Styela clava: one gene and its partner. The protein of the gene in region 2 purifies or fractionates together with the protein of the main gene of each other region. This does not show direct contact. Links are inferred from orthologs where the notes say so. Each region holds a gene or a part of one and is shown on either strand. Other genes may lie near its edges.

What was found.
Region 1: the proteins of syntaxin-5-like (region 2) and Golgi SNAP receptor complex member 1-like purify together in Homo sapiens (affinity purification with western blotting; 3 studies listed by BioGRID, with this or other methods). This does not show direct contact. The link is inferred for Styela clava from reciprocal best matches to the Homo sapiens genes STX5 and GOSR1.

What each region holds. Positions count from the first base shown.
Region 1 is NC_135255.1:20,539,333-20,545,859, forward strand, and holds Golgi SNAP receptor complex member 1-like, read right to left. Parts: upstream 2,496-6,527; 5' UTR 1,626-2,495; coding exon 915-1,625; 3' UTR 528-914; downstream 1-527. Other genes in the region: coiled-coil domain-containing protein 27-like, read right to left, coding at 3,612-5,327. UniProt on the Homo sapiens protein: Involved in transport from the ER to the Golgi apparatus as well as in intra-Golgi transport. It belongs to a super-family of proteins called t-SNAREs or soluble NSF (N-ethylmaleimide-sensitive factor) attachment protein receptor.
Region 2 is NC_135253.1:7,448,623-7,456,454, forward strand, and holds the start of syntaxin-5-like, read right to left. Parts: upstream 3,020-7,832; 5' UTR 2,869-3,019; coding exon 2,820-2,868; intron 2,020-2,819; coding exon 1,817-2,019; intron 1,566-1,816; coding exon 1,492-1,565; intron 1,073-1,491; coding exon 1,017-1,072; intron 761-1,016; coding exon 576-760; intron 483-575; coding exon 338-482; intron 207-337; coding exon 91-206; intron 1-90. Other genes in the region: GTP cyclohydrolase 1 feedback regulatory protein-like, read right to left, coding at 6,160-6,292, 6,679-6,773, 7,307-7,342. UniProt on the Homo sapiens protein: Mediates endoplasmic reticulum to Golgi transport.

The DNA of each region.
Region 1 (6,527 bases), on a different chromosome or scaffold from region 2:
ATAACTCAAACCATCTTATGCTGCTTTAAGGTCGGAAAAGTCTGTGAGACAGAAAGTGCGTGAATCTGATTACACTGCCTAGATTTGCAAGATCAAACCAAGAACGACCAAAAATCATTAATAATCATCTATTCTAAAATTTGAAAAAAAAATATCAATATTTCTTCGACTTCAATGTACATTTAAAGAAAATTCATAACGGGAGTCTTACCAGAATGACTGAATGTAGCTCATAAAATAGAGCGTGCTTGGCATGACAATCATTACCCATATATCCTCGCATATAAGCCAAGTTGAAAACTAAAAATGCAGCATATACATGCATAACTCTGATCGCACTATATAAAATTTAACTTATACGACTTAACACAAAATTTCACTAATTCCTTTCTGTCCCCATTTGCTTTGATAGGTGCGTACAACGTGTTATGATTTGTAGGGGCGCCTTATATGCTAATATTTATAAATTCACCATTTTAGGACTGTCGAATTATATGCGAGATCATCTTATATGCAATGACATACAGTTTATTATTCACCATATTGAAAATACTCTGTATGGCCATAACATAGAAAATAAAACAGAATTTTAGGGTGAAAGAAAACTAACACTGGTTATCAAGCAGTATCAATCATATTCCCAAGACCCAAAAATCACACCATAATAAGCCAGATATAAATAACTGGGTGGAACCGCAGGGACCCAACTTTTATTCAATAATGGCTATCTCATAGTTGCAGGCAAAAAAAAAATTCGCGGGGCGCACAATGTTTTATTGAAGGCCGCAGGTAGCACACCCCTGATTTAGCACATGCAAGTGCTTCTTATTTGTCTGCAGATCTGCAAACTCCTGAGCCCACATCCCTAGTTGTAAAAGTCAGAAATAATATTTAGAATGCTCTTCTTAAATCAGCTAATGTAACCAGTATATCAGAATGAGTATAATACAGATGGACACAACGGAAGCCATGATAAGCGAGTCCCTTTGCTTCCTCATTTTAATTCGTCGAACGAGACTATTAAGAGCGGGGAACCGATTAGCAAGGTTATTCAATCTCGTTGTCATATTTTTGAAAATTTTTCGCTGCGTTCCCAAATTTTCTTTCGTTGCCATGGCGATGTCGATTGCCTCGCTGGCAAGGCGATCAGAGTTCCTTAAATGTTCGTTTTCTTTTAGATAAAGATCGGTACGTCGACTATTAGCTCCGCTTCCGCTTTTGTAAGCGTCGATATCACGTCGAACTGATCCGATTAAATCCTCCCTTTCACGATGAGCGACGATATTGCTCTTGGTCTTGGCAAATTCATGAGTGTAGTCTTGAAGTATGTCCCTGTGTCGTTGTAGAGTATGCATTGCAGAACTTGGACCGTTAATTGCTTCGCTGTGATTGGCCATCATGTCGTTTACGCCCGTTAATTTCGCCAGAAGTTGTTCGATTTCCATCGCCATGGTTTCAAACATTCGTTCGCTGCTCGAATTCCCAAGAAGAGGTGTATGGTCGCTTGCGTGGCTGCTATAACTTGTCCCGAGTTTGCTAAACGAGACTAGTTTTAGGTCGAGTTCGTTCTCAAGTCGGCGAGCTTGTTTCCTTAGGTCCTCCCATTGGTTCGTCATTTTTCTCATCAAAAATTTCAAAAATTGTTCCGATGTAGAGACCACCAATATTCAAAATATGGAGTCACCCGGTAGAAATTCGCAAACAATAAAACAGAAGTATGATAATATCCCAATTTGTGTACTACAATAATGAAGTATACAGTCTTTTCCAGTCGTCAGCCTCACATAGGGATAAATAGCAACAGTTCCACAATCAGAATCACAGCGTTGGCTATCTTATTTCTGTAACAAGATAAATCTAAAATTCTAAAAAAATACATTTCATTATACAAACTATTTGAAATCAAATTATATGTACATCGCGCAGATTCTCAAAAAAAAGTGCAGCTATAAGTAGAATCACAATTAAAAAAAATGGTGCATTTTACGAAAACTTTTCGCTAACCAGAATGCCTAAAAAATTTAATTACCATATATCCTCCCATATAAGCCAAGATAACTAAAAAAAAAGTTGCCAAACTTACGGGGCGGCTTATACGACCATAGCTCTGATCGCACTAAAGCAACCTTTGCTGTGATAGGTGCGTGCAGCGTGTTATGATTTAAAGGGCCAGTTTTAATGTGAATTTTGATGATTCAACCACTTTAGGGGGCCGGCTTATATTCGAGGATATATGGGTAGTAACATAAGTATAAAAACTCAAAATTTTCACCCAAAATATCAAATTTTATATGTAACACTCCCCCAGCTTATAATAACTCATTAGGAACAATTTAGTGACAAGAAAATTCAATTTTCACAAAATACATTCAAGTTTTCAAGTAATATACCAACTAACAGTGGACGGCTACAAATCACAGTGAAATGTGTCCAACCAGCAATGCATACTAACTACCTTTGATGTTATTATTTTTGAACTTGATGGCAAAATGCATTGAAATAAACCACAAAATCAATGAAGTATAACTTTAACAGAATAGTCCCATTTGAACCGGGTGGGTAAAATTCTGACTGCCCGCCTCATTGGTTAAACCCAAGGAGCAATTGAGCATATATTGACAAAATCATCCTATTTAGAACAGATGGATAAAGTTCTGACTGCCATGCCTCATTACTTGAACCTTAAAAGCAATGGAGCATGACTTTGACAGAATATGCCTAATTGAAACAAAGTAATAAAATTCTGACTGTCATGCTTCATTAGTTAAACACAAGATAGCATATATTATTGACACAATAATCCTATGTAGGATAAAATTCTCACTGCAATGCTTTGTTACTTGAACCCAAACAGCAATGAAAGATATATAGACAGAACATTCTATGGGAATAGCCATAGCTAGAAAGTTGATTATCTGATTCTGGTTCCATGGACTTGGATATATGATAAAAAGTGAAACGCCAATATTTTCACAATGTTGTTAAAAGGCACCCTTGCTTCAATCAAAAAAATATGTTACTAAACTCTACCATAAAAATCATTATTAAATTAATTATCATAAAATTATTCAACAGTGGACATTGGAACTACTACAGTGGCTAAATTAGAAAAAAATAAAATTGATTTGGGGTAATAAATACAGTGATTCAACAGTCTTTTATTACAATTAGGATTCTGCTACTACCATAAATTTGTACATGAAATGAGGTGTAAAACCTATATCTAATATGATATAAATACAGGGCGTTCATAAAGTCTACATCATTACAATTATAAAGTCTGGTCTCAAGATTCGTTTATTTTAATCAGCGTTTATTTAAATTTCTTACATCATTCAATACACCTGTAGAGGAAAACAAACTATAATATAGTATCAATAAATTTCTATTCACACAATTTCTAAATTTTGTTATGAAGTCAGTTCTCAATATACCTTAACCAGGTTTGTTTTATCCGAATCAATGCTTGTTCATTTATTAATTAATACATAATGGCCATTAAATATTTATGGTATAGATAAATTACCTTACAATTTGAGAAAAAATTTAGAACTTTATGAATACCCTGTATAATATGTGATATAAAAAAATTAAAATTGTGCAAAAAATAACTATCTGTGCTTCGGAGATTTTCTTCCTCCTTTCCCAGATTTTCGTTCTTGCTGACTCGTTGCGGTAGTAGCGCTACTTTCTTCGATTTTTTCTTCTTCCAAAGTTGCGTCGAGCTCGACTAATAACGGTGGAAAATCTGCGTTCGTTTCTTCTAATAACTTATGAAATTCACTTCTATCCTCGATTATCTTTTTCACAGCGTTAAAAACTACAATGTCGCTAATCGCTGTGCTTGGATGAGCCGCTCCAGGTGTGATAAATACAGCTTGAATAATTCGAGAGCGAAGACGTTCGAATCTTGTCGACATTTGCTCAGCGGAAACTCGAGATAATTGCTCCAGACGTCGCATATCTTCCAAATCACGACATAGGTGTTTGATCTCCTCCGACTGTTTTTTATCTAGCTCGCCACCTTTTTTAATTTTTTTGTGACTCTCCCTAATTTCTTTGCTCTGTTTGTCAGACTTTTCCTTCAATTTGTCAGCTTTTTGTTGAATCTCATTAAAAGCGTTCTTCAGGATTGTCAACTCATGTTCAGTTTCAGCATTCATATCGCTGTGTTTTCTTCTTTCCCGCAAGTCAGAGAACTTTTTCGACATTGTCCTAGCCTCTGCTAAAGCTTCGTTCATCTGAAATTCGGCTTTCTCAACTTGGGATGTCAATTTCATTACTTTGTTTTCAGTGCTTTCTAAATCACGCTGTAAAGCGTTTATGAAGCCGTCATTCATAACCAATTCTTTTTGCGACGTTTCAAGACGATCTTGCAACTCAGAAATTATTTGCTCTCTTTTAACAAGCTCTTCTCTCATAGCCATGACCTCGTCTTCAGGGGTTAATTTCTCGGGAGCCATCTTGTCGAATTGTTCTCGTAAAGCGTCTGCATCAGCATTAGCGCTTCGTAACGACTCGCGAACACTTTCGACTTTTTCGTCATATTCTTGTGGATTTTTTTGGAAAGAACCCTCTGGTTCAGAAATTGTTGTGCTTGTTTCGTCAACATAAATCAAAGGCTTTTTTGCTCCACTAGATGGCGTACTTGAGCGAGATTTCTGCTGCGATTCTCTTTCTAAGAATTCAATTTTTTCTTGGAATTGAGAAATAATCTTATCATTCTTTTTGCATTCTTCTTCAAATGGTCCAAGACGAACAATTTCGTCCGTCAAAATTTGCGTTCTCTTACGCAGATCCGCCACAATTGCCTCTAATTCCGTTTCTTGAGTCGTTTTTATGACAACATTTTGTGCCAACTGTCTTCTAAGGTCAAATATTTCGTTATCTTTTTGTTTAGAATCAATTTCGAAAGCACTCAAGCGGTTAATCTCATCGCCCATTTGTAGAAGGCGTTCTTCTTTTTCTCTTAGCATAGCCATGTACCAGGGTTGTTCTTTTTGTAACGTCTCCTGGACTTCCGGTTCAACCGTTTTTGGCCGTTCTTGCCGGTTAACAGGGCTTCCACTTTCGAGAATTTCACGAGATGACAATTTAACATGACCCTCTGAACCATATCTGGTTGTCATTCGCATATTTCTCGGCGCCGATTTCGACCTCTCATTTATGGCTAAAGGAGAAATCGGTAAAATCTGATCTCTCGGGTTACCAGGTGCCGTATCAGGTCGTAAACTAAAATTATCCTCGCCGAAGCCGCTAGAAGATCTGCTGGTCATATTTTCGTAAATACTAGAGCCTTTGCGAGAAGTTTGGATAGAATGGCTCATCTTCTAACTGTGGTGCTTTTAATCCCACATGATAGCGAATATCTCAACAAAAAATACACTTTCTGACTTTGGAAAGAACTAATTCACCAGCGAGGCAGCAACACATCACCATACGCAAAATCAACAGCGTTTCCAAGGCGAGGGGTGATTGGAGTCGTCGGACTGACAGGTGGTCCTAGTTCGCCTTTTCCTGGGGATAAATAATCAGTATCAGTTTCGAACCCAGGCAGAGCGACCAGAGGTGCGATGTCAAGCGTATTCCCATTTCGTACAAATTCTAAAGCAGTGATTTCTAACGGCCGGTCTGCGAAGTTTTTTTGTCGGTTCGCGAGAAATGCTGTTGTTTTTCTGCCAAACCGGAGACGCGTGCTTTTTCTGTTCTACATACTTTTAGTGATTAACATGACCATCCAAATATAAGGTGATTCATACTTCTTCGCCATGACATTCAGTAAGATATGAACCTATTGCGACCCTGCAGGTGGTCAAAAGACGTGCAACAAAAGCATGGGCCGCTGAGATCTTTTCCAGGTGAGGCACAGCAGGATTTGAGCTTGGTGACGGTTACGTTAACGACGACTTTGTCATAATGTAATTTTTTTTTGAGGCGTCGAATAACCGCAGATATATTAATATGATGAACCCGACACATTGGACGAAAAAGAGAAAAAAAAACTTGATTGAAGTTGTGATTCTACTTTACAGTCCAATAATATGAAAATATATGTTATTGTTTTTCTGTTCCAATCATATCAAATTTTTCCGTTCCGCGATACATTATTATGCATAGTCATAAATTATTCCTGCTACAAAGTGCAATCGTGTCGTATGTATAATCAATTATGTTTATTAAATGTGTTTTTATCACAAAAAGGAGATTAAAGTCGATAATACATCCCGAATGAGATGGTTGACTTTCGTTTCCTTACACCCGCGATCTCCGCCTTATGATTTCAACATGGTTAGCCAGACCAATAAGCATGCTCATTGGCCAGAGCTATCAGTCACTAGTCCATACTGAACCATTATATTATATATACGCTTTGTACTGAACTAAGCTTGTTTCTGAAATTTTCTGACTAATATATATGCCTTATCTAAGAGGGTAGGCGTGGTCATTTTCAAGAGTATTCCATACGGATCTTTTAGACTTGATTCCCATAAACCAGGGGTTCCCAAACCTATTTAGTCGCGGGCCAA
Region 2 (7,832 bases):
GCACATGTTCTTGGTTGAAAGATTGGAAAACCAAAAGAAACAGCTTAATTAATGTGAAACGTACATATATCAATTCATATTTTAACATACTTGTTGATCAAGCAGTTGCATTGTATCTTGTGAAGTTGATGGCGATGAACCATCCATTGATATTGAAACATCTCCAGAAGAATTCCTTTGTTCATCCATTATTAAAACTGAACCTCCTAAAACAACACAGTCATGGTAATAACAATACGAAATATAGAGTGCTGTTGAAATAAACAGGTAGGTCTGTTTCTATACCTAAAAGTGCCATATATATCCATCAAAACAAATTTTGTAATTGTCAACTTACGATTCCCCTGCATAGCAGATGGCGGCATACTTGATGATAAATTAGTAGTACTGAACTGATCTTTACGCAATTTCTGTTGCTTCATATTTTCACGTCGAACTTCAAGGACAGATTTGAAATTATCAGACATTGAAGCAAGTTTGGACTGAAATGAATAATATTTAATTTCAGCTATCTTGTTTCATATAGCTACAACAATAACGTTGAAAAATTTCAATAAAATTGACATAAAACTCACCCTTAATGTGCGAACAATAGATGACGAATGTTTTTGAATATCTTTATGGCCACTAGACCTTGCAGAAACTACCTGCTCCAGTTGAGCAATTTGTTTCTTCAACGAAGTGATGTCTTGTTTAATAATATATGTCAACTCCTGGATTTCAACAGGTCGATCATCGAACAGTGAACGTTTTTTACATACTATAAAAAAGAAGTAACCGATGAGAAATATTTTTTATCAAGTCTCATAACGACTATATGAAAATATATCATATAAACAAAAATCCAATTACTATTTTTCAAAAAATAAGAATTTGAGTAAAATAAAAAATTCGGCAATAGTGATTATGATGAAGTAGTCAACTAAAATAAAAACAAATCAAAAGATATGCATAACATAATAACATAATATGACTTTTGATTTACCAGACACAATCAGTATAAATTTCATACTTACACAAAGTTAGTTTTTCTAATTTTTCATATGTCTTACTTATATCTCTGCCAATTCGCCTGAATAAAAATATGCAATATGTATTTCTGCCACTTACTTGACGACAATTATTAAATCAATTAAATAACTGTGCTCTATGCATATTCATTGCTTTCATCAACAGTTAATTTATAACTTAAATGGGGTATATATTATATATATATAACAATTCAACAAATCTAATTCCACAATAAAACAAATAGAGAAGCATTAAACTGAAAAACAAATAGTTAGTGAAGTACTGCAAAGTATAGAACAGCATTGAATGCTGCAAAGTAAAGAACAGCATTGACACTTCTGATATAATGTAATTTAATTTTTTCTCCAAGGAAAAAGTTGTCTGAAATTACTTTATTGCAGTATACTAGAAATATTCAGAGTATTTCGAAATCAAAAATCATATATATTGAAAAGTGCGTTAAGTACATATTATGCTTACTTGGCAAATGTAGAAAATTCACTTCTATTTTTCAGAGCATTGTTTTGTGCTTTATGTGGAACCCCACCATTAGACTGAAAATACAATAACGTACATAGAATTCATAAAAATATGTACACATAGAGCAAATATGGGTCAAGGTACAACACAGCTCTGTCACATTTAACAAAATTTGAATGTATGGCAATATGATCCTCTGCCAAACTGCGAAATAACGAGTCAATGTCTTATACCATCACATGACATTCTATATTAGGCAAATATTAATTTGATATGGAAATTCCTCATGATTTTCAAGTAAATTTAATATTTGGTTCTTGAATACCTGTCTCGATTTTAATGACTTCACAACAGATTGAAATTCTACAGTCCGGTCGCGGCACGCGGAATTCATGCTTGTCATTAAATCTGCTGATTGGCTTGAATTGTCTTCTTCCAATTGACCAGAAGAAACCTCGTTACTTTCAGTTCCGTTGAAAAGTATTCTCGTTGATGAGAGTGAAGGAAGTTGTGAAAAAGACCAACCACCTGTGAATATAATGGATTTCTGTACAACTGTACAGTACTTTTCGATATGTCAGAATTTGCAACGCAAGCTGATTCGTCAAATAAAGTTCTTCTATATTGGTCATATGGTCAATGCAACCGCCATGATCAAAGTTTCAGTCAGTTGGGATATCATCATACAAACAGCTGGTACAAAAATTAAGAACACATCAATACTGCAATACAAGTGTATAGTCTTTTCGAAATAGTGTTCTTTACACAGATTTGTCAATCCATCTCTCTGTATTGCAATCAGGCAGTAGAATAGTGTCTTGTTTCTTAGCTACATAGCAGTTCCACAATAAAAAATCAGCAACAAGTTTAATACAGCTCTGATAATACTGTAATAACAGAATAACCAAACAACAAATGCTCTAGTTTTCAGCAGCTTTGTCAATAAGTGACAAAGTGTTTGGCGCTATTAATGAAAAAACTGAAGAATGAGCTTCGATAAAACTTTTTGATTATCTTAACTGCCATATGCTAATCAATTAAACATTTCAGCTTTATTAATTTTTAATTAAATTAATAAATACAGAAATATAATTTAATCCAGTACCGGTAATCCAGTAATCACAGAAGTTCAAGCAGATATTTGAAAGAATACGGTATTATTTATCTGAGTGGTACCCAGACCGTGGCATTCAGAGTGTATAAAGGTATAGTTCAGAAAGGTCTGAAGGTAGTTTCAAATAAACGCGAATTACGGTACGGTACGGTACGGTACCGGTACCGGTAGTGAATTAACTGAAGCCATTTACAGATTTCACTACAGCACTAACCTGAAGGTGAGCTTTTTTCATGAGATCCGATTCTTCGCCTGGTAATCATCTAGTCATATGACTTCCAATAAAACATGGGATACAGTTTCTAAGACTCGAAGACAAATTTGCGTAAATCCTACGATAAAAAGTTCTGTACCGTAACACAGAAGCAACCTATTGTATAAAAGCTGACGAGGTGTCTTTTCTCATTTTCATGCATGGCCGATTTCCACGCAAGTTGATTAACGTCACTGTCTGTAGTGCACGGAAACAAGAAGGAAGATGACAGAAAACCCAATTCATTAAAATGAATGAAAAGGTAAATACTGTAAATTGCTTACTACCTATTATATATAATAGGTATATATATATTCAATTGTTCGAACATGGATTAACTCCCGGAACAACTGCCTGATAAAAATAGAAATGCCTAGTTGGTGGTTGATAGGATTTACATAGGCTATTTATTCCGTGAAGGGGAAAAGTCGATAAGACGGCTTGCTCATATTGCGAACCGCGGCTTCTCTTCTGTTTCCCAGTCCTCATTGGGTATGATTTTGCCTGTTATCTTTGACTCGGTGGTTAATAATACCTATGCTATTATCCATTATTGTAATTAGGTGATCAGTCGAGCTATATTTGGATTCTCCCTACCTTTTAATTTCCTGTAGTGTTATATACTGTGCCCTGTATGTACACAGAGATTTTCTGATTTGCTGTATAGTTAAAATAATGGCCAACATGTGAATGCTTAGTGTGGTTTGATCGACATCAAATGTTTTTGCATGGCTTGTGAACAATCTCTTGTGTCCCAACTACAATCTCCTCTTTCTCAGGTCTTTCAACTAGTAGTCTAATGATAAATTATTAATATTGGTCAATATTTATTCAAATCAACAATATCTTCTCAAAAATGTAGGGTAGTTTTCTATTGTTTCCTTATTTGCAATCATTGAATATTGTACTCGCAGATATATTTTTCGTTTTTCATAACGTCGTGATGATCGATTTAAAAGGTCGCTAATTCAACATAAAATGTGTATACCACTATACATTAACAATATTGCAGACTGATGGATCATCTTTGATGAACTTGAACTGACCCCAGTGATCAACAACCTCAATTAAATTTCCTTGCCTATAATCCATGACCTTAAAAAATCTCACTTGAACCTTTAATAACCTATATATTGCTGTAACCGATTTTCCTATCTCGATATCATACTGCCTTAAAATTAATTTTAATTATAATTACCGGTACTTTTATTGATTAATAGTATTTAAAGTGATTTGGACGTTAGTTTGGCTTTCAATTTGGTGAGGCTTAGCCCATCCCTTCATGCATCCAACTTAAAATTCTGATTGGGCAATTTGGCATTAGGTGACTCCAAATATAATCAGCTTGACGATATCTTTTGAGGAATTTTTTTTTATCCACAATGTATAACTCATGTTGGCAAGCCTCATAAAATTATTATTATAGTTTGGCAAAAAAAAAATTTTCATGATTTTCATTTAGTTATTTCGTTTGTATATTTTTCTTTTTTACTGAGTAATTCACTAATACTTTTGGGTGAGCGAACACGTGCTATTTCCTTTATCAATACCTTTTCTTTAAAATTTGTACGTTCCAAACCTTACTAGAGGTTTTGTTTGCTTTCCCAATTCTATAATAAGTTAATAATAATAAGTTTTTATCAATTACATTATCGTCTATTATGCTGATTATGGAGTCGAAATAAACTCATACTTACCTGCGAACCCACGCATGTGTATTGCTGACGAGAGATTTGCATTGAAACATTGAATATATTAATTTTTGAATCGCATCTGCACAACAAACATTTTGGGGACATCGGACAATCACTTAAAATGAAATTATCATATCCAGTGCCAACATGTTTATTAAATGTAAGACAGAGAAACGGAGGCAGTGACTACGGGATGCGAGCATCGATACCTTAACAAGCAAAGTCAGCAATGATGCAAAGGTGATGAACTTCTAGTGCTTTGTGTATTGACCATAAGTTCTCACAATAATGTAAAAAAATATGTAAAAGGCTAGCATAAGTTTTTGCTGGTTCTTGGTTTATATGTAGCTCCTCGTATATATTTGTTGGTTGGACGTCATTTGGTTAACTGTAAAGTTCTTTGTGGCCACTAGGACCAAAATCGCGTCAGATCTAAACCTGGTAATTCGTCAGTGCCAATATCGATTTCATCGCATCTCTCGTCTGGTAATCAGTTCGTGTCAACAGTTAGCGCAACTAACCTATGCCTCGCGCTAATTTTAGGGTTAGTCCATTAAATGTACCCAATATAAATTACCACCTTGTATAATTTTATAATGATAACTGAATGAATTCGCTACTCGCAAAGTTAATTTTACGACCGACCATCATTGGCAAATGCTCAGGATTACAAGGATTGCCAAGAAAAATAGCAGCTAATCACTTAATGTTATGATTCGCGTATTTTGGCACAGGTCCCGTCACATAACTTCTACTTGTTTTTTAACTCTTCACCACTTTCGCTCATCAAAATTATTTATACCTTCACAAGTAAGCTTCGCCCATGAATTTTATTTTCTCGAGTTTATTTATGGCATTTATTTTTTTCAGTATGATTGTCGCGATGTTTTTTCCACTTGTGTGGGTGAATGGGCATAAATGCCGGCCGGTTACAGCGTTCGCTATAAACCTTTCTGGAGGTTTTTCCCATTTGCCCCGTTGTCTGTGTTTTTATTTTTCCATTAGTGTTCGGTGTTGCAGACGAAAAATCGAGATAAAATTGTATTGTAATTCATTTCTCACCACAAAATCTTAGTTTTTGATTATTATTCTCATTTCCGACCGCCATCAATGGGTTTATATATATACGAAATACCTCAGTGAATAATTAGTTTATCCACTTGTAATCGGTACTTCAGACAAAGCTTTCTGCGCCATGACCACTGTTTTCGATCGTACATACCTTCACAATCACGTATTGTTCATTTACGAAATTCTGTTCACACCACCATGACACAAGCCCATATATATATGCAAAAGCCACACCTTTCACACCAATTCATAAGACTACTCATTTTACCACTTTTTTTGTTGCACATAACATCATATATTACAATTGCACATTTAAAAATGAATGATTGAATCAGTACCACACAATCCAAATATTTTTGACAAATAAAACAATTTTAATCAAAGCCATTTACTGATATCTCCGAGAGAAATGCATACATATGTAACAGTTGATGGCATAAATTAATTGATTGTAAGTAAACCGAAATACAGCCACTCACAGCTAATCAAATTAGACAGCATGATCAAGTTATCTATCCCCCAAACATTGAAATTTATCACTCAGAAATTGGCTTATGTAATGTCCAAACAATAGTTTGTCCAATGCCGCTTGTATTTATTACAGAATATCCCAACTTTTCCAATTTGTTCAATACAATTCGAGGAGGGTCAGAGACTGTGTATTCTTTGCTAAAACAATTCAAAACAATAAAACATTAAAAAATGTGGTATGTTGCATGTAACATGGCATAAAGAATCAAGACAAACAGGTTGCAACTAAACAGAATGCAAGTTGTTGGTAACCTATGCGATGGCACAAAATAGTATATTATTCTACTATTCTATCCAGTGGGATTACCAGTAGCATTATCTTCTGTATTAACTCAGATCCAATTTTGCAAGTTAGCAAACAACATCACTGTGACATACATATCAAAATTTTTTTTACTGCAGTATCAGAAAAATTCAAAGAATATAAAACTAGCATGGAACAAATAACTATCCATTCTGACAGACAGTTTCTCATTGAATAAAAAAGGTACAAATCGAAAACATCCATAACAAGATTAGCTCACAAAGGACATCCTTTCTGTTGCCCCAACACAGCACCTATCTTCGTCATCAAGTCTGGATCAGACTGTTCATCTCCAACAATTGTCGGTCCAATTTCCTAAAACAACCAAGAAGTGAGATTTATTGATTTTAATTAGACTAAAGTTAACTATTATTCATATCTAACACAAGAAATTAAATATATTTTGCTTAACCATGTCATTAATCAAGACAAGAAATAAAAGAATTCAACAACAATTTCTCAGATTTAGGTTTGCATAATCACACAACAGACCATAAAACTGTATTTCCCAAACACAAAATATTGTTTAAGTGCAATTGAACCCACTATACCCTTAGATGCCTGACTGGCTTCTAATGCCTAGTTCATAATTGAAATAAATTTTTATTTTTTCAAATTTTTGTGGAAAAGTTAATGTTGTTTATATGCGTCTTAAACTAATATTGTGGGATTTATTTTTCATTTTGATTAAGACTAAATCATATTCTAAATTGGGCAAAGAAATCATATTTTCAAAATTTCTACTGAAACTGTTTTTTTCCTGGATTTTATTTCATATTTCAGTATCAGGAGATTTTATACAATACGATAAGTGATCAAAAACATTATGGTTAATAGATGATACTTACTAATCGAACCAGTGTGCTCACTAACAAATACGGCATTTATTTCACTGCAGTCTACTACAAGTCTGCAAATGAGGGAATGTTTTTATTAGTTAAAAGTGCAGACTCATTAGGTCATGGGCCATCAGAGCCTGAGACGATTCACTGAGCTCGGTCTCACTGGCAGAGTGGTTGGTGGTTAGTTGAATGCGAGTCTAGGGGTCTGAGTCATTTCATTTACTGATTTAGATGACTAGAGTCTTTGGTAAAAGATTCTCATGTTACGGGGTTATTATGTACAAAAGCGAGGAAGCTAACAAGTCAGCAAGTAGACCACACTTCTTACAGCTGTACAGTGACTTGTCAGACTGTCTAAGGACCCACCGACTCAGGCCAACCACGATTTATTACCTGGCAGCCTGGAGCAAAAAGGCATGCCTATTCTATTACAGTACCGTATTATAGAAGACTAATATATGAATATGTCAAATCCTGTACAGTACCGCACCATATACAGTAATAATATCCAGAATAGAACACCGGTAGGTAC